Linked DNA regions of Macaca fascicularis. The protein of the gene in region 1 purifies or fractionates together with the protein of each later gene. This does not show direct contact. Links are inferred from orthologs where the notes say so. Each region holds a gene or a part of one and is shown on either strand. Other genes may lie near its edges. The genes, in order: ECD and ZNHIT2.

Region 1 (12,479 bases):
GGTAAAACCCCATTCCTACTAAAAATACAAAAATTAGCCTGGCGTGGTAGCAGGCACCTACAGTCCCAGCTACTCGGGAGGCTGGGGCAAGAGAATCGCTTGAACCTGGGAGGCAGAGGTTGCAGTGAGCTGAGATCTCACCACTGCACTCCAGCCTGGGTGACAGAGCGAGACTCCATCTCAGGAAAAAAAAAAAAAAAACAGAAAAGAAAGATATACCTACCATCCCATGAGACTTGAAAAAGGGGCAAATTTAGGACAGAGGTAAGATGACAGGACACGAATGTTTTGTAGTTCTCTACACCATACAATGTTCATAAAAGAGAGAAATGTACATTCTGCAGAGCAAGATAGATTATGCTTTAGAGTTTAAGTAACAAAATTTTAAAGCAGGGAGAGATTTTAGAGATGGTAGATAACTTATCCTAAATTAAAGAAAAAAACCCAGAAAGAGAAAGTGAAGTGTCCACAGTGGCACAGCTAATTAGTGGCAGAACTGGGGTTTTTGATATAGTATGTAAACAGTGGATATTAGTGCAGTGTTTCTCGAAATATGTTACACATACCACTGCTAGTACAAGGGCAAACATTAAAAATTTCATTCTTTACTTCCAAAATAGGAAAAATATAAAAAAGATTTTATTCTTACATACGTATTAATTGGGGAATGTGATACTGGATTTCTATTCACTGTATTATATCAAGGTTTCCTTGTAACGTAATTTTAAAGATAAAGTTTTAAGTGTAAAGTGTCACTAAAAATAATATTAGGCCAGGTGCAGTGGCTCATGCCTGTAATCCCAGCACTTTGGGAGACCAAGGCGGAAGAACTGCTTGAGCTCAGGAGTTCTAGACCAGCCTGGGCAACATGGCAAAACCTTGCTTCTACTGAAAATACACAAAAAAATTAGCTGGGCATGGTGGCACACACCTGTGGTCCCAGCTACTTGGGAGGCTGAGGTAGGAGGATGGCTTGAGCCTAAGAGGTGGAGGTTGCAGTGAGCTGTGATCATGCCACTGCACTCCAGCCTGGGCAACAAGAGTGAAACTCCAACTCAAATAAATAAATAAATGAAGTTTAAAACATTAAATAAATATTACTGTAGGTGGTGTGTGGTCAAGGCAAAAACCATGATGATGGTATGTGGCTAACTAAATTTTATTTATTATTTATTTATTTATTTATTTATTTATTTATTTATTTATTTTAGATGGAGTCTTGCTCTGTCACCCAAGCTGGAGTGCAATGGCATGATCTCGGCTCATTGCAACCTCTGCTTCCTAGGTTCAAGTGATTCTCCTGCTTTAGCCTCCTGAGTAGCTAGGATCACAGGTGCCTGCCGCCACACCCAGCTAATTTTTGTATTTTTAGTAGAGACGAGGTTTCACCGTGTCAACCAGGCTGGTCTGAAACTCCTGACCTCCAATGATCTGCCTGCCTCAGCCTCCCAAAGTGCTAGGATTACATGCATGAACCACTGTGCCCGGCCTAACTAAATTTTAGAAAACAGTGTTCATAGAGTCATCTAAAAGAGTTCAGATGTTACTTCTGCATTGTTCTATGTGGTTTATATTTTGGAACTTTAAATGTAGTTTTCAAAGAAGAATGGAAGAAACCATGAAGCTTGCTACAATGGAAGACACAGTGGAGTACTGCCTGTTCCTGATACCAGATGAATCAAGGGACTCAGATAAACACGAAGAGGTTCTTCAGAAGTATATTGAGAGAATAATGACTCGGTTTGCACCTATGCTGGTCCCCTACATCTGGCAGAATCAGCCTTTCAATCTCAAATATAAACCTGGGAAAGGTAAGGCTCTTTTACTTGTGTGGATTAGTGTGACTTTTAATGTTATCCTGACAACAGTGATGTGTATGTGTAATAGTCCACACTTCATTCAGTGTTGGCAGGAAGAGATTAATGCACTAAACTTTTTAGGTAAGTAATACTTGTCTATAATCAGTTAGCCATAAAGCTTTGTTTTTAAAAAAAATCATATTAATGAAAACTTTCTAAATCTGCCTTAGGAATTAGCATATACTAAACATTATTAAACTCATGGCTATTCTTTTGAACTTTAGTTGCTATACTATGCATAATGTATCTAAGTATCTATACTAAACAGTTTCAGGTATCTGGCTTTAATTATGGTTCCTTTTTTGCTGTTACTCAGTATTCCTTATGTTGATGTGTTGAGTAGGCTGCCTTGTTTCATATAGCCATTTTGGGGAGGATCTGAGTGGCTCTGCCCGGCTTATAAAGATAAATAATTGGGCTTTATGGCTAATATTTGCCACTTATAAGCATTTTGAGGTTTCTTCATTGCTTCCCTGTGTTGTTGGTGCTTGAGATCTGACCTCTGGCAAAATACGGCACTCTGTCCTGTTATGAGAAAAACCCAGAATTAAAGTAGGAGGGAGCGGAGAGACCAAAGAATCACTCGAACAGGTCTGTCTTAGCAAGTAGATGAGTTTATTAGGACTTACAGACAGGACACTCCTGGGCAGCATCAGGACAGCTCCAGAAATCTGCCCCACCTCCCATCTTTAAGCTGCTTGTAAGCTAATTTTTTGGCTCTTTGCCTACTGCGTATATGCAATGACACTGTTTTCCTTGGTATGTTCCCAGCTATGCCCTGCAATGTTTGGGTTCTCAGGACCTGCTCCTCTGCTGGGCATGATGGCTTTGGCTTGCCAGCTGGCCTTCGAAGTTTAAGCAGCAGACATATACCCTTAAGTAGCCTGGTGGGGAACTGGTCACACTACAGTTATGTCATTTCTTATAGTTTTATGAAAATAAATCATGGATAGGTGACCAAGTCTCTCTTTACACAGTGACTTATGTGAGGTCTTATTTAGGATCAGGAGCCTGGCATCTTGTGATACCATCACAAGATACCCCCATGTATACATCACAAGTATACATCACTGTGATACTCTCAGTTTAGTGCTTATCTCTTATCTTTTGGCTAGCAATTGCTACATATCTTCCCTACTGTTAATTTTATTGAACTCTTATTCATTGACATACATATGATATTTATTGACAAGAACACTGTCACATTGGTGCAGCACATCTAAAACCAACCCTTTCTCTGTCTCTAGAAAACCATTTTTACTGTTTTCTTATCTTGTTTAATGGCATTGCCATCCACCCAGTTATCCAAGCTAGTCAGTAATTCAAAATCATAATCAGTTCCTCACTTCACCATGTTCAGTCAGATGCTAAATCCTGAATGCTTCTAAAATATGACCCCTTCTCTACATCTATTTGGCTTCAATGTAGGCCCTCTTTATCTCTACATTTAAAAAACAACAACAGCCTCCTAACTTACCTCTCTGGTTCCTGTCTTTCTAGTTCCTCACACTGTTGCCAATTACGTTTGTAAAACAAACTTGATTGTGTCACTCTCCTGCTTAATATCCTTCAGTAGTTCCCATTGCTTCAAGATGAAATTTAAATCGAAGTCTAATATAGACAAAAACAGTTACTTTAATTGTATTCTCTAGTTGAAGAAACTTGAGATCTGGGGTGGGGAGAAGAAGAGTTGGTTGGGCTGTTCTTCTACCTATTGTTTGCCATGGCAACTCTTGAGACACTCTGTAATGCACTTGTTTGACCTTCATTCTGTTAATGTGGGATATTACTGTACATTGATTTTCATGTGTTGAACCATCCTTGCATCTCAGGAATAAATCCTACTTGGTCATGGTGAATAATCTATTTAATGTGCTGTTGAATTCAGATTGCTGATATTTTGTTAAGAATTTCTGCATTGATATTCATCAAGGATATTGATCTACAGTTTTCTTATATTGTCTTTGTCTGGCTTTGGTGTTAGGGTAATGCTGGCCTCAGAAGGGATTTGGGAATTCCCTCCCCTTTATTTTTTTTGGAAGATTTTGAGGATTGATGTCAAATTCTTTAAATGTTTGGAAGAGGTCCGCAGTGAAGCCAGCTTTTCTTTGTTAGGAGCTTTTGGATTATTGATTCAATCTCCTTACTAGTTATAGATCTGTTCAGATTTTTGTATTTCTCATGATCCAGTCTTGACAGGTTGTGTATTTTTAGGAACTTGTCGATTTCTTCTACATTATCCAACTTACTGGTATACCATTGTTCATAGAATTATATCTTTCTTGTTTCTATGACATAAGTTGTACTGTCTCCTCTTTGATTTCTGATTTTAGTTTTTTGAGTATTTGCTCTTATTCCTGGTTAATCAAGTTAATAGTTTGTCAATCTTTTCAAAAAAACCCAACTCAGTTGTTTTGTTTTTCTGTTATTTTTTCTGGTCTCTATTTTATTTATCTCTACTGTAATGTTTATTATTTTCCGTATGCTAGGTTTGGGTTTAGTTTTTATTTTTTGTTTTGTTTTGGTTTTTTTGAGGTATAGGTTGTTGATTTGAGGTCTTTCACACCTACAAACTTCCTTTTTAGCACTGCTTTCACTGAATTCCTTAAAGTTTTGGTATGATGTGCATTCATTTTCATTCGTCCCAAGATATTTTCTAATTTCCCTGTGCTTTATTCCAAGAGTGTGTTGTTTAGTTTCCATGTATTTGTGAATAGTGCACATGTTTGAAAACTTGTGCTCCATCCAAATCTAGCGTCGTGGTATTCCCAGAATACTCTATACATACATACTTTGTACAGCATGCCTTTGTGCCTTTGTACATGCTTTTCTATTTTTCTGGAAAGCTCACCTCTTGTCATTCCTCCAGGCAAGCATAGCACAGATATCCCCTCCTTTATACTCACATAGGCCTTACTGCATACCCCTGTTCTAGAGTTCATTATCTTGTTTTGAGATCATTTGGTTGTCTTGTTTTACCCTGAGCTCCTCAGGAGTAGGCTTCTTCTTCAGGAGTGCAACCCCTGCTCCCTAGTACTTAGAGCAATCAGTCAATGAATGTTTATTCAGTTGAATGATTATGTGCATTTTATTTGCAGTAACAAATTTATCTGTTTACATGGTTGCTTTTCTCTTGTTTTTAGGAAGTGTTCCTGCTCATATGTTTGGCGTGACAAAGTTTGGGGATAATATTGAGGATGAATGGTTTATTGTTTATGTAATAAAGCAGATCACAAAGGAATTTCCAGAGTTAGTAGCAAGGTATTGTAGTTATTTTAATTATTCTAAAAGAATTCTATTACTGAAACAGTGTGACTACATTTTTATATATTTAGTAATTTATTTTTCTCCTGTAGTCTGCTGGAAATTGTACAGATTTGAAAAGTATCTGTGCTTTTTTTTTTTTTCTGAGACAGAGTCTTGCTCTGTCGCCCAGGCTAGAGTGCAGTGGTGTGATCTTGGCTCACTGCAGCCTCCACCTTCCGGGTTCAAGCGATTCTCCTGCCTCAGCCTCTCAAGTAGCTGGGATTACAGGCGCGTGCCACCATGCCTGGCTAATTTTGTGTTTTTAGTACAGACAAGGTTTTACCATGTTGGCCGGGCTGGTCTTAAACTCCTGACCTCAGGTGATCAACCCACCTCGGCCTCCCAAAGTGCTGGGATTACAGGCATAAGCCACCATGCCCAGCCTTATCTGTATTTTCTTTCTCTTCTCTTGTGACTTCCTTTTCTTGAGAAAGAATTAAGGTAGTATCAAAGAGTTCAACTTCCAAAAGATTTCAAATAAAACCTACTTATTTTAGGTTTTCTTTTTAAAATTCTAATTATGAAAAAACAAATACATGTGGTAAACAAAATTCAGATGATACAAAGGGTTCTACTGCTCTGCTTCCCAGAAGTAATCACCATTAAATTCCTTATGAATCTTTGAAAAATAAAATTCCATTCATACACATACATACATAGTTCACATATTTTTAAATGTGTATTCCTGTACTAGACCATAGCTATATTTTTTGAGAACTCATACACAGAAACAATTTAAAGAGAAGTCAGTGAACAATCGTATAGGAAGCTAAGTAGGTAACACCGTTAAAAATGGGACCCGAGTTTTCTGTAATTACCACGTATTGCCAGCAGAGGGCGTTCCGCCCACTTATATTTTATCCTAGTTTTCCTAGTCAGCACCCAAATTCTGATCTTTTTTTACCCAACCAACCTCTTTCCCAACAGAACAAAAAAGAGGGGGGAAAAAAAAACCTTTGAAAACTTAGTATTTAAATTTTAAGTATACATTAAAGTAGAGAGAATGAACCCACATGTTCCCATTATCCAGCTTCAACAATTACCAACTCATGGTCATCATTATTTGATCTGTGGCTGTCATTTGATCCTTAAATACTTCAGGATGTAAATCTAAGTGATAACTCATTTTATCTTTATCTTTAAATACATTTATTTAAAATTTTAAAATTTTTAAGTTTACTTATTATTTATTTAGTTTTTTAAAGACAGGGTCTCACTGTTTTGCCTGGGCTGGACTTGAACTCCTGGGCTCAAGCCATCCTCCTGCTTCAGTCGCCCGAGTAGCTGGTACTACAGGCACATGCCACTGTGCTTTATTTTATTTCATTTTATTTTATTTTTTTGAGACAGCGTCTCACTCTGTTGCCCATACTGGACTGCAGTGGAACAATCTCGGCTCACTGCAACCTCTGCCTCCTGGGCTCAAGCGATTCTCATACCTCATCCTCCTGAGTAGCTGGGGCTATAGGCGTGCACTACCACACCTGGCTAATTTTTGTATTTTTTGTAGAGACAAGTTTTCACCATGTTGACCAGGCTGGTCTCAACCTCCTGACCTCAAGTGATCCACCCGCCTCAGCCTCCCAAAGTGCTGGGATTACAAGTGTGAACCACTGCATGAAGGCTATTTTTAAAATTGACAAATAAAAATTGTGTATATTTATTATGTATAACATGTTGTCTTGAAATACATATATATTGGCCGGGCACGGTGCCTCACACCTGTAATCCCAGCACTTTGGGAGGCCGAGGCGGGAGGATCACGAGGTCAGGAGATCGAGACCATCCTGGCTAACAACAACAAAAAAAAATACAAAAAACTAGCCGGGCGAGGTGGCGGGCGCCTGTAGTCCCAGCTACTCGGGAGGCTGAGGCAGGAGAATGGCATAAACCCGGGAGGCGGAGCTTGCAGTGAGCTGAGATCTGGCCACTGCACTCCAGCCTGGGCAACAGAGCGAGACTCCCGTCTCAAAAAAAAAAAAGAAATATATATATATATTGTAGGATGGCTGAATTGAGCTCATAACATACATTACTTCACATACTTATTGTTTTGTGTATGGTGAGAACATTTAAAATCTACTGCCTTAGCAAGTTTCAAGAACACAATACATTGTAGGCCTGGGGCGGTGGCTCACGCCTGTAATCCCAACACTTTGGGAGGTTGAAGCAGAAGCATCACATGAGATCAGAAGTTCCAGACGAGCCTGGCCAACATGGTGAAACCCCATCTCTACTAAAAATACAAAAAATTAGCCAGGTGTGGTGGCCCATACCTGTGGTCCCAGCAACTCGGGAGGCTGAGGCAGGGGAATCGCTTGAGCCCAGGAAGTAGAGGTTGCAGTGAGTGTGATTGCACCACTAATTCCAGCCTGGACGACAGGGTGAGACTCTGTCTCAAAAATAAAATAAAATAATAAAAATAGAAGTATAGAGCTAGAACGGTATATAACAGTATAGAAAATATGCTATGTCTTGTGTAAAACAGGGAGAAAATATAAATATATATTTATATAGCTAGATTATGTGTAAGCAAACTCTAGAAGGATATACAAGAAACAGCAGTGATGCGTGTAGGGTTGAGCAGATAGGGACAAAAGTAGGAGGAAAACTTTTTCATTTTGCAACTTTTTTTTTTTTTTTTTTTTTTTTAGACGGAGTTTTGCTCTTGTTGCCCAGGCTGGAGTGCAATGGTGCGATGTTGGCTCACCGCAACCTCCGCCTCCCAGGTTCAAGCAATTCTCCTGCCTCAGCCTCCCGAGTAAGTGAGATTACAGGCATGCGCCACCATGCCTGGCTGATTTTTTTTCGTATTTTTAGTAGAGACGGGATTTCTTCATGTTGGTCAAGCTGGTCTTGAACTCCTGACCTTAGGTGATCCGCCCACCTTGGCCTCCCAAAGTGCTGGGATTACAGGCGTGAGCCACCATGCCTGGCCATGTAAATTTTAATATATTTTTAAAAAAATTTAACCATATGAATGTATAACCTATTTTTAAAAGTAAAATTTTAAAAAGTGTTGCAGGCTGGGCATGGTGGCTCACACCTGTAACCCCAGCACTTTGGGAGGCTGAGGCGAGCGGATCACTTGAGGTCAGGAGTTTGAGACCAGCCTGGGCAACATGGCAAAACCCTGTCTCTACTAAAAATACAAAAATTAGCTGGGCATGGTGGTGGGCACTTGTAATCCCAGCTATTCGGGAGGCTGCGGGAGGCTAAGGCAGGAGAATCGCCTGAACACAGGAGGTGGAGGTTGCAGTGAGCCGAGATCACACCACTGCACTCTAGCCTGGGTGACAGAGCGAGACTCCGTCTCAAAAATAAGAAAAAAAGTAATGCAAATGAGTCAGAAATAATTATCTTTTCAGGCCCAAATAACACCTCCTACATGAAGGCTTTTCTAATCTCAGCTATATTTTTTTTTGCTTTTGGAACCCTATAGTACTTTGTATATTTTCATATTTTTGTCTAATATTTCTTTATGTAAATTGCTTATCTTCTCTCCTTATCTCTACCTTCAACTCCTCCTTACAATCTTATTGTCTCCTTCAGTGCTTAATGTTATCTTAAACATTTTGCTTTCTTATAGCCATCTGCACATAGTACCTATTCAAATATTTACTAAGATGAAGAGGAAAATGTATTAGAATAAAACTGTTCTGGTTACTAGCAGATATGTGCTTTTTGAATGCAAAATTGGAAATTTTCTTGCATTAGGATTGAAGACAATGATGGTGAATTCTTGTTAATAGAAGCTGCTGACTTTCTCCCTAAATGGTTGGATCCTGATAATAGCACCAATAGGGTAAGTATATACAAGTTTAGAAAATTTGTAGAGATGAAATCATGCTGCATTACAGTCATATGTACCTACAGTTTGCCAGTGCCCACTATGAAAATTAAAATGTACCATTTGCAGGTATTTTTCCACCATGGAGAATTGTGTATTATTCCTGCACCAAGAAAACCTGGAGCGGAATCTTGGTTACCCACCACACCCCCAACAATTCCACAAGCATTGAATATAATCGCAGCACATCCAGAAAAAATACTTGCTTCAGAATCTATACGAGCTGCTGTGAGTAGGCGCATCAGAGGGTAAGAAAAATATCACTTACATTGCTAATTAAGGAACCTTTTGGTTTCGTGTAGTTCAGTCTTTCTTTGATTTTTGCTTGTTTTCCTTAAAGCTCTGTTGGAGTTGATCAGTCTTTCTTTGACTGTAAAATATCTTTCACCTAGATTAATGCTAATTTTCATTTTGTCTTCATTCTTCTTTATGGAATAGACTAATACATTAAACTTAGAGATTTTAAACGGGGGCAATAGATACATCTTTAAATTCCCATTCAGAAGTGTTACAATCTTGTCCCAATATTTTTGCATTTATACACCTTAGATATTGTGGCTAAGTATTAGCTATATCCATGGGTAAAAAATTTGAGACCTTTAAAAATAGAAACTTCCTGGACCTGGAGCGGTGGCTCACGCCTGTAATCCCAGCACTTTGGGAGGCTAAGTGGAGGGCAGATCATGAGATCAGGAGTTCAAGACCAGCCTGGCCAACATAATGAAATCCCATCTCTACTAAAAATACAAAAAAAAAAAGGCGGGACGTGATAGCAGGTTCCTGTAATCCCAGCTACTTTGGAGGCTGAGGCAAAGAGAATCGCTTGAACTCGGGAGGCGGAGGTTGCAGTGAGCTAAGATCGCACCACTAGACTCCGTCTCAAAAAAAAAAATAAATAAATAAAAAGTAGAAACCTAATGGAGCCCAAACAAGGTGCTCAGGTTTTTTCTGTTGTTTTGGGTCTATGTATGGGATTCTTTGACCTATGTCAGAATTCTTTGACCTATGTCAGCTTTATTTAAAGCTGAAGTTTTATTCAGAAAAGAAAGTCTTAGCTTAATAACATATTAGTTCATCCATTCAAATTTGGGTGCCTATTAAATAGTAAGCACCGTTCAGGTATTAACAATACTAAAAATCTTTTTGGCCGGGTGCAGTGGCTCACGCCTGTAATCCCACCACTTTGGGAGGCCAAGGTGGGTGGATCACGAGGTCAAGAGATCGAGACCATCCTGGCCAACATGGTGAAACGCCATCTCTACTAAAAATACAAAAAATTAGCCGGGCATGGTGGCAGGCCCCTGTAGTCCCAGCTACTGGAGAGGCTGAGGCAAGAGAATCACTTGAACCCAGGAGGTGGAGGTTGCAGGGAGGCGGAGGTTGCAGTGAGCCGAGGTTGCACCACTGCATTCCAGCCTGGCGACAGAGTAAGACTCTGTCTCAAAAATAATAATAAATAAAAAATAAAAATCTCTTTTAGCTTCAGCATACTTTGCACCATTATTTTAGAAAAATAAACTCTGATTTTATGTTTATTCCAAAGTATAATTGGTTTTTTTGTTTTGTTTTGTTTTGTTTTGCTTTTGGGGTGGAATTTTGCTCTTGTCACCCAGGCTGGAGTGCAGTGGTGTGATCTCGGCTCACTGCAACCTCCGCCTCCCGGGTTCACGCAATTCTCCTGCGTCAGCCTCCTGAGTAGCTGGGACTACAGGCATGTCCCACCACACCCAGCCAATTTTTTATATTTTTAGTAGAGACGGGGTTTCACCATGTTAGCCAGGATGGTCTCAATCTCTTGACCTAGTGATCCACCCGCCTCGGCCTCCCAAAGTTGTTTTGTTTTTATTGAGCTACCATAATCCCTTTTCTTTATTTTCCATTTCTTCCTACTTTTTTCTTTCCCTCTCTTCTTTCTTATAGTATTAAGTGTATATACAGTATCTTTTTTCATCTCTCTTGTCACTCTCTACATACTGCTCTCGATGAACAAAGAGAAGATGTCAAAAAGAATGTGAATGGTATAAGAATTCTAGGTATTTATATACTGTAAAATGAAAGTAATTATGTTACCTGTCCCAGGTACCCAGAAAAAATTCAGGTCTCCCTTCATCGAGCACACTGCTTCCTTCCAGCTGGCATTGTGGCAGTGCTAAAGCAGCGCCCCAGATTGGTGTCTGCAGCAGTCCAGGCATTTTACCTACGAGACCCTATTGACCTGCGAGCCTGTCGTGTTTTCAAGACATTCTTGCCTGAAACACGAATAATGACATCGGTAAGATTTCTATCTTGGTCATTTAGTTTCTCTTACTGGAAACAGAGTTGAAACATTATTATTTTTCTCTTTTTACATTTCTCAGTGCTCAGTGAATGAAACATTACTTTAATTGTTCTCTAGAAAGAAAAAGGAAATATTCTGTTTCTTCATAGCGTGTTAATATAGGTTGAATATTCCTTATCTGAAATGCTTGGGACCAGAAGTATTTCGGATTTCAGATTTATTTGGATTTTGGAATATTTGCATTATACTTACTAGTTGAGCATTCCAAATCTGAAAATTCTGAAATCTCAAAACTTTGAGCATATCATTGGGACTCAAAAAGTTTTGGATTTTGGAACATTTTAGATTTCAGATATTTACATTTGGGATGCTCAAACTATACACATTTTTTTCTTTTCTTGCACCCAGTGAAGGAAATTTTCAAGAGACCTGCCTCCCCATTTTATACTCAATGTTTCATAGCTATTTTTGACCATATTTTTCTATTTCTGTAATTATTTCCTTTTTTTTTTTTTTTTTTTTTTTTGAGACAGAGTCTCACTTTCTCACCCAGGATGGAATGTAGTAGAGCAATCTTAGCTTACTGCAACCTCTGCTTCCTGGGCTCAAGTGATTCTCCTGCCTTCTGAGTAGCTGGGATTACAGGCACCTCCCAACACGCCCAGCTGATTTTTATATTTTTAGTAGAGACAGTGTTTACCATGTTGGCCAGGCTGGTCTCGAACTCCTGACCTCAAGTGATTCAGCCATCTCAGCCTCCCAAAGTGCTGGGGTTACAGGCATGAGCCACTATGCCCGGCCTAATTATTTCCTTCTTGACAATAAAACATTTCATCTCTTCCAGGGAATTAAGAATTATTCTTGGCCAGGCATGGTGGCTCACACCTGTAATCCCAGCACTTTGGGCGACCAAGGCAGGTAGATCACTTGAACCCAGGTGTTTGAGACCAGACTGGGCAACATAATGAACCCCATCTCTACAAAAAATAAAAAAATTAGCCAGCTGTGGTGGTGGGCACCTGTAATCCCCACTACTTGGGAGGCTGAAGCAGGAGAATTACTTGACCCCAGGAGGTTTGGGAGGCCAAGGTGGGCAGATCACCTGAGGTCAGTAGTTTGAGACCAGCATGGCCAACATGGTGAAACCCCATCCCTGAGGCTTCAGTGAGCCATGATTGCTCCACTG
Region 2 (12,156 bases), on another chromosome or scaffold:
CGGGCGGATCGCGAGGTCAGGAGATCGAGACCATCCTGGCTAACACGGTGAAACCCATCTCTACTAAAAATACAAAAAAATTAGCCTAGCGTGGTGGCGGGCGCCTGTAGTCCCAGCTACTCAGGAGGTTGAGGCAGGAGGATGGCGTGAACCCGGGAGGCGGAGCTGGCAGTAAGCCGAGATCGCGCCACTGCACTCCAGCCTGCGCAACAGAACGAGACTCTGTCTCAAAAAAAAAAAAAAGAAAAAAAGAATTAAGGCAATCATAATTCCCTACGCACACTCATGCTAGGATCCCGCCCCTTATCTGAAACGTTTTGGCTTACATAGACACTGCCAGGCACTGTGTTAAGTGCTCCCAAAGAGCACCGCAGTCTACCACTTTCTCTCTCGTTTCTGTATCTACACTCGATCGGGAGACAAGCTCTTCCGATCGAAAACGACAAAACTAAGGCCCCAAGTAGGAATGCCTTAGTTTTCGGGGTTAACAATGATTAACACTGAGCCTCACACCCACGCGATGCCCTCAGCTCCTCGCTCAGCGCTCTCACCAACAGCCGTAGCCCGCAGCCCCGCTGGACACCGGTTCTCCATCCCCGAAGCGCAGCCCGGAACATGGTAACGGCCATCTTGACCTCGTACGCCAGCCGTCTGTGCACGCAACGGTCTGGTTCCGCCCCCTCCTGCGCGCGCTGCCTGCCCCTGGCAGGCTCGCCTGTGCGAGCGTAAAGGGGCGGAGCTAGGGTCGCCTTGGGCGGTACAAATATCAGAGACCCGCGCGGTCGCTCAGTAGTGACGTGATACGCAGCTCGCGGTCAGTACAGACGCGCCCTCGCTTCTTCCTCTTTCTCGACTCCATCTTCGCGGTAGCGGCAGCTGGGACCGCGGTTCAGGTAAGAATAGGGCCTTGGCTGGATCCGAAGGGCTTGTAGCAGATTGGCTGCGGGATCAGAGGGCGCGGGGGAAACTGAAGAACCAGGCCGGCTCTGTGGCCCTGCTCCAGTCCCTATCCGAATTCTTCGGGAGGCCTGGCCTTCCCCACGTGAGCCGCCGCGACCACCTCCATCCCATCGCTATCGTTTCTGGACCACTTTCCATTCCCAAACCTCCTTTATCCCAGAGCATTTCTTCGCTTCTCTTACAAGCCGTATTTCTTTACTCAGTCGTCAACATGCAGCTTTTTGTCCGCGCCCAGGAGCTACACACCCTCGAGGTGACCGGCCAGGAAACGGTCGCCCAAATCAAGGTAAGGCTGCTTGGTGCGCCCTGGGTTCCATTTTCTTGTGCTCTTCACCCTCGCGGCCCGAGGGAACACTTACGAGCCTTATCTTTCCCTGTAGGCTCATGTAGCTTCACTGGAGGGCATTGCCTCGGAAGATCAAGTCGTGCTCCTGGCAGGCACCCCCTTGGAGGATGAGGCCACTCTGGGCCAGTGCGGGGTGGAGGCCCTGACTACCCTGGAAGTAGCAGGCCGCATGCTTGGAGGTGAGTGAGAGAAGAATGTTTTTTGAACTACTGGTAAGCGTCTAGTGGGTAGGGGGTGCATAGTCCTGGCAGCTGAGTGTCACACCTATGGTAATAGAGTACTTCTCACTGCCCTCAGTTCAGAGTGATTCTTCCTGTTTACATCCCTCATGTTGAACACAGACGTCCATGGGAGACTGAGCCAGAGTGTAGTTGTGTTTCAGTCACATCACGAGATCCGAGTCTGGTTATCAGCTTCCCCACTAAAATTAGGTCAGACCGGGGCCCCCAAAGTGCTCTAGAAAGTTAGAAGCTGGAAAATCCTGAAATGAAACTTAAGATTTCAAGGTCAGATATCTGCAGCTTTGTTCTCATTACCTGTTGGGCCCAGCTTCTCTTTAAAGGCTTGAATTGAGGAAAGAGGGGTTCTGCTGGGTGGCACCTTCTTGCTCTTACCTGCTGGTTCCTTCCTTTCCCATTACAGGTAAAGTCCATGGTTCCCTGGCCCGTGCTGGGAAAGTGAGAGGTCAGACTCCTAAGGTGAGTGAGAGTATTAGTGGTCATGGTGTTTGGACTTTGTCTTTTCCTGTCACAGCTAAATCAAGTCCCTGGGTTCTTACCCGGTTTGCCTTCTCCCTCCCTGGAGATGAGCCTGAGGGAAAGGATGCTAGGTGTGGAAGACAGAAACCAGGGCCTGATTAACCCTCCCTTCTTCAGGTGGCCAAACAGGAGAAGAAGAAGAAGAAGACCGGTCGGGCTAAGCGCCGGATGCAGTACAACCGGCGCTTTGTCAACGTTGTGCCCACCTTTGGCAAGAAGAAGGGCCCCAATGCCAATTCTTAAGTCCTTTGTAATTGCGGCTTTCTCTAATAAAAAAGCCACTTAGTTCAGTCATCGCATTGCTTCATCTTTATTTGCAAGGCCTTGGGGAGAGGTTGGTGCTGTGTCCCCTGTAAGAACAGTGAGGCAGAAAAGCCGTTGGTATAGGGGAAGAAATGGTAAACTGCAAGAGGAATTTTCTGTGAAGAAACAGTAGCCACAGATCCTGGGGCTTCAGGTGTAGAATTGGAGTTATTCCCTATCCTAAGTAACTTGATCAGTCCCCTCAAGTCATTCTTTTTCATCTTCTAAACAGAGAAGGTAGCAGGAATCATTGTGGTGAGACGTTTGTTATGGAGGCAGCAGTGGGAGGGATGGGTGGGGGAAGAGGTTTGTATAGAAGGTGAACCTGGTCATTCCCTGAACTTGATACCAGCTGTGGCCTTAGAGTCCAGGGCAGGAATCTGGTCTGCCTCGGTTTTAGAAATAAATATTACGTTGGGTGCATGGTCTCGTTTGTACCTCTATGATTGCCTGGCTAGACTTGGTAACCTAATCACATCTGTGATTGGATATAGTGATGTTTTGGTGTTCCCAAAAGTTGGATTATCTCTGGGGCTGATTCAGGGTTGCCTTCTAGCAACTGAGCCTCCCAGCACTTCTGAACCCCACTTACTCATTCAGCTAAAGTTTCTGGACCTGCCAGTTCTTGGGAAATAGCATCCAACAGGGTAAAACCCTTGGGCTGTGGACTTTGAATGCCTGAGTTTGGACCTTTTTTTTCCTAATCCATTTACTGGGTGGCTGGCCTTTGAACTAACTACTAATTTAATCTCTGCCATCTCCAGAGCTGCTGTGAAGGTTAAAGGATGTAGTGTGTGAATCTTGGCTATTTTCGTCTCGTGGTGTTAAAGACATGCTTTCTGCTTTCTAGCAGTTTAGAAAGGGGGAGGATGTGGACAGATACAATAGCATCCCAGAGAGGGCCTCTTTTTTGTTTTTCTTTTTTCTTTATCTTTTATTGAGACGGAGTCTCCAACCTCCTGGGTTCGCACCATTCTTCTGCCTCAGCCCCCAGAGTAGCTGGGACTACAGGCATGTGCCACCACGCTTAGCTAATTTTTTGTATTTTTAGTAGAGATGGGTTTTCCCTATGTTGGCCGGGATGGTCTCGATCTCTTGACATTGTGATCACCCGCCTTGGCCTCCCAAAGTGCTGGGATTACAGGTGTGAGCCACAGCACCCGGCCTTTTTTCTTTTTGAGTCAAGGTCTCTCATCCAGGCTGGAGTGCAGTCGCATAGTCATGGCTCACTGCAGCCTCCAAGTCCTGGGCCCAGGTGATCCTACTCAGCCTCCCAAGTAGCTGAGGACTGCAGGCATGCACCACCACTCCTGGCTAAGTTTTTGTACTTCTTGCAGAGACGGGGTTTTGTTGCTGTGTTGCCCAGGCTGGTCTTGAACTGGGCTCAAGTGATCCGCCCACCTTGGCCTCCCAAAGTACTGAGAGTACAGGTGTCAGCCACTGTGCCCAACTGAGAGGTCGTGTTTAAATGACATGTGTGAGACCTGAGATGAATAAATCAAGTGATCAGGTAGGGGAATATTTTAAGCCAAGAGGACTGTATGAAGATGGGGAAGAGGTGATGTCTAGGGGTGGGAGCAGATCCTGCAAGGCCTTGTCAGCCATGGAGAGAAGTTTGGGTTTGAGTCCAAGTGCAATGGAGGGTCGCAGAAGGGTTTTGAGTAAGAGAAGGATCTGATCTGACTTGTGATCTAATTTATCTGGCAGGTTTTTCTGGAGGGCTGGCAAGAAAGGAAAAACACAATGTGTTGTCATCCACGTGAGGGGTCAGGAAGCTTAGACCACCAGTAGTAGTAGTAGGGATGCAAAGAACACTCACAGTTTGGTTCATCACACCTCCACTCCACCATAAGACTGAGCTCTGTTAGAACAGGGACCCCCAACTCCCTTTGATGTGCATTGTGTTCTTGGCACCTAGAATGGGGCCTGCACTTAATGAGATGGATGAATAGTGGTATTTAATAAGATACTTAATGAAGAGTCAGTTTTGGAGGAAAAATAGGAGCTCAAATATTTCTTTTTTTTTTTTTTTTTTTTTTTTTTTTTGAGACGGAGTCTCGCTCTGTCACCCAGGCTGGAGTGCAGTGGCCGGATCTCAGCTCACTGCAAGCTCCTCCTCTCGGGTTCACGCCATTCTCCTGCCTCAGCCTCCCAAGTAGCTGGGACTACAGGCACCCGCCACTTCGCCCGGCTAGTTTTTTGTATTTTTTAGTAGAGACGGGGTTTCACCGTATTAGCCAGGATGGTCTCCATCTCCTGACCTCATGATCCGCCCATCTCGGCCTCCCAAAGTGCTGGGATTACAGGCTTGAGCCACCGCGCCCGGCCTCAAATATTTCTTAAATACTGCTTTTTATTTGTTTTTTTGAGGTGGAGTTCCTCTCTGTGGCCCAGGCTCCCAGGCTGGAGGGCGGTGGCGCGATCTCAGCTCACTGCAACCTCCACCTCCTGGGTTCAAATGATTCTCCTGCCTCAGCCTCCGGAGTAGCTGGGACTACAGGCACCCGTCCCTCACGCCCGGCTAATTTTGTATTAGTAGAGATGGGGTTTCTCCATGTTGGTCAGGCCGTGGTCAAACTTCTGACCTCAGGTCATCTGCCCGCCTTGGCCTCCCAAAGTGCTGGGATTATCGGCGTGAGAGCCACCGCACCCGATCCCAACTGCCCTTTTATTCGTCTGTGTCCTCTAGTGCATTTTATTTGTCTGTGTACAGCGCAGGGATGCATCGCCTTTCTGAGGCTTGGCACAATTAGTGGCCCAGGGTAGGTGTTTAGTAAAAGTGGATTTCTGCCACAGCGCATTATAGAGCTAAAGAGAGAGGGTTTTCTCTTTAGATGATCGGGCCACGTTTTGGTGTGACCGCTAGGGGGAGAGGTGGCACCGGCGGAGCGCTCGCCAGACCCATTTTTCCGCTCCTTGCGTCATCGCACAGGGCGGGGCTCGTACCTGACGCCCGGCGTCTGGGCCTGCTCTCACCCTACTAGGGAAAGGGGTGGGGCTCGGCTTTCCGGCGTGGGCGGAAATTGCTCAGAATCCTCGGGAGCTTTGCGAAACGACAGACCGTCGTCGACCCCGCGGTGAGCCGGAAGTAATTGAATAAGCCCCGGAAGTTTGGAACTATCGCCGGCGTGCGTTCGCAGGTAGATCGCGGTGCCGGTTGCTATGGAGCCGGTCGGGCCTTGTGGTTTCTGCCCGGCGGGGGAGGCCCAGCCCGCGCGTTACACCTGCCCTCGCTGTAATGCGCCCTATTGCTCGCTGCGCTGCTACCGGACGCATGGCACCTGCGCAGAAAACTTCTACCGTGACCAGGTGCTGGGAGAGCTCCGCGGCCGCAGCGCCTCGCCCAGCCGCCTGGCAAGCGCCCTACGCCGGCTGCGTCAGCAACGCGATACCGAGGACGAGCCTGGGGAAACAGGCCTTAGCCCCGGCCCGGCGCCCGGCGGCCTCTCGGGACTGTGGGAGCGGCTGGCGCCGGCCGAAAAAACTGCCTTCGAGCGGCTGCTGAGCCGTGGTGAGGCCGGGCGGCTGCTTCCTCCATGGCGGCCGTGGTGGTGGAAGCGCGGAGCCGGACCGTGGCGGCTTCTGGAGGAGCTGGATGATGTCCCGGGCAGTGATGCCGCGGGGCTGGAGCCCGCCCTTGCGAGGACCCCGCCGGAATCTATGAACGATGCCTTCGCCGCGGAGCTCGCGGCTGCCGAGCTGGTTCTTGGAGATGTCCCGGGGGCCTGCACGCCCGCCATACCCACCCGCATCCCCACGCTGGTCAGCCTGAGCCGCGGCCCAGTCTCGCCGCTCGTGCGCTTCCAGCTGCCCAATGTGCTGTTCGCCTACGCGCATACTCTCGCCCTGTATCACGGCGGTGACGACGCACTGCTCTCTGACTTCTGTGCTACACTGCTCGGCGTTTCCGGAGCCCTGGGTGCCCAGCAAGTCTTCGCCTCTGCGGAAGAAGCCCTGCAGGCCGCAGCCCACGTGCTGGAAGCAGGCGAACACCCGCCTGGGCCCCTGGGCACACGAGGGGCTATGCACGAGGTCGCTCGCATCCTGCTGGGTGAGGGCCCGACCAACCAGAAAGGCTACACGCTGGCAGCACTGGGAGACCTGGCAAAGACCCTGGGCCGTGCCCGGAAACAGGCTGTGCTTAGAGAAGAGCGAGATCATCTTTACCGGGCCCGGAAAAAGTGCCAATTCCTCCTGGCCTGGACCAATGAAAATGAGGCGGCCCTCACACCCCTGGCTCTAGATTGCGCCAGGGCTCACCAAGCCCATGCTGTGGCAGCCGAGGAGGTGGCCGCCCTCACTGGGGAGCTGGAGCGGCTTTGGGGAGGCCCCGTGCCACCTGCCCCAAGGACTCTCATTGAGGAGCTCCCTGGCTGAACTGGGGACCCTGGTCATTAATAAAGCTGTGAGTGGTCAGCCCTGTTGCCTGTTTCTGAAGGATAGTTATTGTCCTACCAGGCCCCCAGAGTCCTGGGCCCACAAGCCACTGCTCAGCTTCTCCCTGATCAGTGCTGACCCAGCCAGTCCTAGGGGAGAGAAGTGCACCAATGGTTCCCAATGTTTATCCAAAGGAGGAAGAGCATCTCCGATTTTGGTCACTGGTTTCATTTTTTTCCTTGCTCTAAACCACCTCTTCTCTGAGGCTGTTCATCCTCAGGGCTGGGTGGGGTACAAGCCCTTGAGTCCCAAGTGTGTCCAGGCTCCTGGTCTTGGGTGTGCTGGTGGATGAGTGGGCATATGTCCCCACCTGGGGTGGTGGAGCCGCTTCAGTAGATGTAGGGCACGATGCGGTAAGGCACACGCCGGCAGTACTCCTGCCATGCCAGGCCATACTTCTGCAGGCACTGCCGCTCATCCCGGGCCTCACGGTGCACCAGCAGCGCGGTGAAGTAGAGGAGGTAGAAGTAGGGCAGCAGGTGTGACACCCCTGTAGAGAAGGAGGCTCTGTGACCACCCTGCCAGCCCCCTCCACCCCCCAGTTCGCAAACATTTCCACACCTAATGGCTCATGTGGGCATCAGGGCTCAGCAGCAAAAGCTCCAGGGTCTGCATCTAGGCATACCGTACTAGGTTGGCACAGAGGTGTGCCCCAGCCACACACTGGGTCCATCCCAGCTCTCTGACTACTCTCACTGGTGCATACCCAAAGTAGGCATCCTGTGGTCGCTGAGCCACCCCTTCCCCTCATATGTTCCTGCCCCTATCCACATGGGCCACTCACCACAGGGCAAGGACCAAGCCAGAGCCATGATGAGGTCTCCAAGGTAGTTGGGATGGCGGACCATACCCCACCACCCAGACACCAGCAGTTTCCGCCCTGTGGCTGTAGAGATGGTCTCAAGCCCTGGAGAAAGATAGCAGGTGGGGAGTTCCCAGGAAACCCAGCGGCCCCACCTCACCCATGGCCCTAGAGACCCAGCTCACCAGCCACTCTGGGGTCAGAAGGATTCTTTCGGAAAGTGTTTTTCTGGGAATTCGCCCCACGGAAGATGTAGTAACCAATAGCTGGTGAGAGAGTGTGAAAAAGTGGTCAGGGTCAAGGGTTGCAGCCTCCTGCCTGACCCTGACCATCTGCCCAATCTGTCTGCAGCCCAGACTCTGCCTGGACACCCAGGACCCCACCCCTGGCTTTAGAGAGGACCCTGGCAGTTAGCACCTATGTGGTGTGCATGTAAACAGAGCATGAATGAAAAGGAGAGGGGAAAGATGGGCCCAGCCTGCTGCCCCTTCCTGACTGACCATTGATGAGGCAGATGGCGGAAGCCATGGGCAACCCCAGGGGCTGCGGGTGGCGCAGCAGGAACTGGGCTTGCAGGCTGTAGGTGAAGGGCACCCAGGCTATGTCCCCAAATGCCAGCATGAAGCCAAACCCGTCATGTGTGATATCCATGGTGGTGAGGATGGCCTCCTGCAAGGACAAGACCCAGACACACTGGCTTAGTCCCCATGCGGCCCTCAGATACCCACCCTTGTCCAGTCCAGCCTCACCTCATGCCAGAGGGCATCACCCACATAGAGTAACTGGAAGCCATTAACCAGCCACATGGCCAGTGAGGGACTGCCCCGAAGTTCTGCCTCCTTCACCAACAGGGCCAGGTTGATGAGGACCTGGGGGAGGGGGAACAGGGCAATCGTCTCCACAGAGGTGGCAGCCCTGGGCAGAGCAGTGGCTAACCTCTGCCCTTCTCAGCTGTCAGTTACACTCCAACCCTGTGTTAAGTGGATCCAGGCCTTGGACCCAAGGACAGAGACTTAGACAGGGAGGTGTCCGCAGCTTGTTGTTTCTTGCCTTGAGTGTCCTAAGCTCTTGCAGAGAGCAGCCCTGGGAGCAGTTGGGGGCTGAGGCTTCAGAGCTCAAACAGACCTGGTTTCAAATCTCAGCATCACCTGGGCAGGTTGCTTGCCCTCTCCATAGCCTACTTTCCCCACCCCTGTGTGAAAAATGGGAATAATCATGGGCCTGTCGTGACTCAATGGCATCATCGTGTTTGAAGTCCTCCACAGCGTCCCTAGCAAGTGGTACGTGCTCAGTGGTGGCTAGCCAGAGCAACCCTGTGCTGGGTGCCTGCATTTTACCCTGAGCTCTGTTCTGTCATACAGATTACCTCTTCTAATCTTCCCAGTAATCTTAGGAGAAAGCTTTAATTTTATCCCATTTCACAGATGAGAAAGTGGCCTCAGAAAGTGTTGTCAGGCCAGGGCCCAGATCCAGGGTGGGCACTTGGCACTCCTGCCTGGGGTAAGATAATTTCCAAGGCAACAGGAGAGGCCTTGCCCAAGAGTCTCTTTGGGTCATCTTGGCCACAGAACCAGAGATCACAGTTGGAATGTTGTCAAGGCCACCAGTGACGGGTAGGTTGCTAAACCCAGTGATCAATTTCAGGTTGTGCACTGCTTTGACCACCAAGCAGCATGCGGTCACTCCCTGGAAATAGATTTTGTGCTTGACTGCTGTTGAGAATTGCACGTGCTCTCCTGATGTTATCCCTGACATGCTATATATACTTTACTTATTTTTTGTCAGTCTTTCCCACCAGAATGTAGGCTCTCTGCGGCAAAGATGTTTTTCTTGCCTCTAACTTTATTTTTGTCTCCCAGTACCTAGAGCAGTGCCTAGGGCACAGGTGGATTTAACAAATGTTTGTGGAATAGGAATGATTAATGATTCGTGTCTGCACAGTTTTGGCCCTGCCCTGCCCAAGCGCTGCTCACCCACCCTAACCCTCCCCCTGGCCTTAGGCCAGCTCAGTCAAGCCCAACATACCCAGCCGATGAGGCCAGGTCGCAGTTCACAGAAATATTTGAAGTCGAAGAAACAGATACGAGGGTTGAGCTCCCGTCCCAGAAAAAAGTCGTAAATCGGATTGCCTGGAGAATATTGGAGAGTGAATGTACAGGCAGACGCCCCGATCTGCCTCCATCTCCACCCCTAGAACCCCTCTCACCTGAGATCCCCCCAGGTGCCAGGGCCGAAACTGGGGCTACCTGCGCCTTCATGTAGAGAAAGAGGCTGAAGATGAAAGCGGTGAGGGTGGCGACAAACGCCAAAGGCAGGAGCATTTCCGGGAGCGCCCCCAGAGGCAGCCCCGCTGACACCCCCAGCCCCACCAACAGGGCTGTCAGCACCAGGGCCTGGAAGCCTAAACCACAGCACACAGTGAGCCCTGGGGCTGCACGCCTCCACATCCCCACCCTGCGAACACACACAGAGCCCAAAACTCAGGGGGGCCGCAGACCCTGCCCCAAGCATTAGGCTGCCACCCTGGCCTTCAGAGGATCACCCCAGCCACTGCTGTGGTGCACAGTGTAGCAGTAAATGGGGTAAGGGTGTGGGGACGAGGGGCTTAGGGCGAGCCCCCGGCGTCTGTCCTAGGGCTCACAAAGAGGCATACAAAGGAGCCTGGGGTGGGGGCCAATCTCCGTGGACCTCCCCGCTAGGGCTGGAGCTCCACCCCCGGCCGCTTAACTCCAGCGCGAGGGCCCGTCCCCCAGGCACCGTTAATCGGATAGCGCAGGCGACTCTTGTCCTTCAATTCCTGCCCCTCAGCCACCTGCGGGTCCAAGGGGGCTCTGATAAGGCCCGGGGCGTCCTCTCCCTCGCCGAGCCCCTCCGACTCCCTCCCCCGAGCGTGCGCGAGCGGCGCCCGCACCTTGCGCGCCGGCAGTAGGTAGAGCGCCGCCTGCAGGCCGAGCCAGGCGAGCCACAGCAGCAGCGCCCGTGGGCTCCACAGCGCCTCCAGCCCAGGCAGGGACGCGGGTGGACCCAGCAGGCGCGCGGGGCCCGAACGGGCCGCCAGGAGCAGGTGGAACATGGTGGCGGGCAGCAGCAGCAGCAGAGCCGCGGCGCCTGCGGGATGGGCCATCACATCGGGCGTCCGCCCCCAGCGCCCCAGCTCCCGCCCCGTCCCCCACGGGCGCTGACGTCTCTGCGGGACCCTTTCGGCATTCCCAGAGTGTGCCTCTGCACCCCTCCTCAGCCCTCAGGCACCCCGCTGCCTCCCAGTTCCCTTCCCAGGCGTCCATCTTGGTCCCCCGCTCCCCCCTCGAAGACCCTCCTCCTGCTCCCAGTCGACACCATAAATCCCCGTTCTGCAGCCCCCAGAACTGACCCCTGCTCAGCTCTCCCTCTCCAGACACCTTCGCTGCAAACCCCCGGGTCCCTCTGCCTCGGACACCCGCAAAACCTTCCATCCTCAGATCCTGTCTCCGCTCTTAGTTCACCCCCTCCAGCTCTCCTTCGCTCAGCCTTTGCCCCAGGTCCCTTCTCGCTGCCCCATTACCCAGGGGCCCTCCGAATTCCAGCGGGGCCCGGGGGCCCTCAGGAGGGGCCATGGTCTCCGCTCCGCCGGAGAGAGGGCGCTCACAATAGTCGGTCAAGGAAACACAGTCCGCCCCATTTCCCAGGAGATGGACTTGTCCGCGCGGAGGATCCGGCCCCGCGGCGCCTGCACCTGCCTGGACACCGAGTGCAGACAAGGACCGCTCTTGTCCCAGGGTTTTTTAATGGACCCGCCCCCTGCCCATCCTGGGCCCAGCACACCAGCCAATCGGCACTCAGGGGCGGACCCGACGCGGGCGCCTCAGAAGCCTCAGCTTCAAAACCCCGCCCTCGGAAAGGCCCGCCCAGCAAGCGAGAGGAGGAGGCCACACATGTTTATTAGGTAGGTCCTGACACCTGCCTGCGGGGACCACCGGGCGGAGACCAGAGCCTGGGTGCCATGGGGCGCCGGGACAGGCCTGTGCATGGCAGCGGCTGCGCCTAGCCGCGCTCGCAGATGACCTCGACCACACTGGGCTCCATGGGCACAGGGTCTGGGCAGCGCAGGGCAGCCGAGGCCACCACTTCGTCTAGCAGCAAGTGCACCAGTTCTTCGTCGGCCACAAAACGCCACAGGTACAGCTGCAGAAAGTGGCAGTCCACTTGCACCTGCTGCAGCCCGAAGCGCCCAAAGGTGCGCAGCCGCACACACTCCAGCAGCGTCTTCAGGCTGATCTTGATGATGCCAGTCAGCACCGACACCTGCAGACAGGTACACAGGGATGCAGCTTGGGGACAGCAGGTGTTGGGGGGGGTCACCCAAGTTCCAAGCAGGGGCCGGGGAGACATACGATGGAAGTAGCTAGGATGAGGCAGAAAGTCTCCAGGGCCAGATAAGAGCGGAGGGATACAATATTAGCGCCGTCATCTGGCGGGCAGGGGACAGGTAGGGCCCAGCAATCAGAGGCATCCCTGAGCTTGGGGTGAGGTGGGGCAGGAACCATGGGTGAACAGAAAACCCTGGGAAGGCC

Evidence for each region.
Region 2: the proteins of ECD (region 1) and ZNHIT2 purify together in Homo sapiens (affinity purification with mass spectrometry; 3 studies listed by BioGRID and IntAct, counting the BioPlex papers as one, with this or other methods). This does not show direct contact. The link is inferred for Macaca fascicularis from reciprocal best matches to the Homo sapiens genes ECD and ZNHIT2.

The regions. Positions count from the first base shown.
Region 1 is NC_088383.1:73,217,356-73,229,834, forward strand, and holds part of ECD (protein ecdysoneless homolog), read left to right. Parts: intron 1-1,211; 5' UTR 1,212-1,540; coding exon 1,541-1,811; intron 1,812-5,002; coding exon 5,003-5,120; intron 5,121-8,882; coding exon 8,883-8,970; intron 8,971-9,084; coding exon 9,085-9,263; intron 9,264-11,094; coding exon 11,095-11,287; intron 11,288-12,479. UniProt on the Homo sapiens protein: Regulator of p53/TP53 stability and function. Inhibits MDM2-mediated degradation of p53/TP53 possibly by cooperating in part with TXNIP. May be involved transcriptional regulation. In vitro has intrinsic transactivation activity enhanced by EP300.
Region 2 is NC_088388.1:9,248,139-9,260,294, forward strand, and holds ZNHIT2 (zinc finger HIT domain-containing protein 2), read left to right. Parts: upstream 1-5,461; 5' UTR 5,462-5,529; coding exon 5,530-6,744; 3' UTR 6,745-6,783; downstream 6,784-12,156. Other genes in the region: MRPL49 (large ribosomal subunit protein mL49), read right to left, coding at 552-629; FAU (ubiquitin-like FUBI-ribosomal protein eS30 fusion protein), read left to right, coding at 1,172-1,246, 1,341-1,485, 1,949-2,004, 2,182-2,307; delta(14)-sterol reductase TM7SF2, read right to left, coding at 7,134-7,294, 7,589-7,711, 7,792-7,872, 8,107-8,275, 8,356-8,475, 9,632-9,735, 9,813-10,007, 10,364-10,418 and 3 more; VPS51 (vacuolar protein sorting-associated protein 51 homolog), read right to left, coding at 11,627-11,887. UniProt on the Homo sapiens protein: May act as a bridging factor mediating the interaction between the R2TP/Prefoldin-like (R2TP/PFDL) complex and U5 small nuclear ribonucleoprotein (U5 snRNP).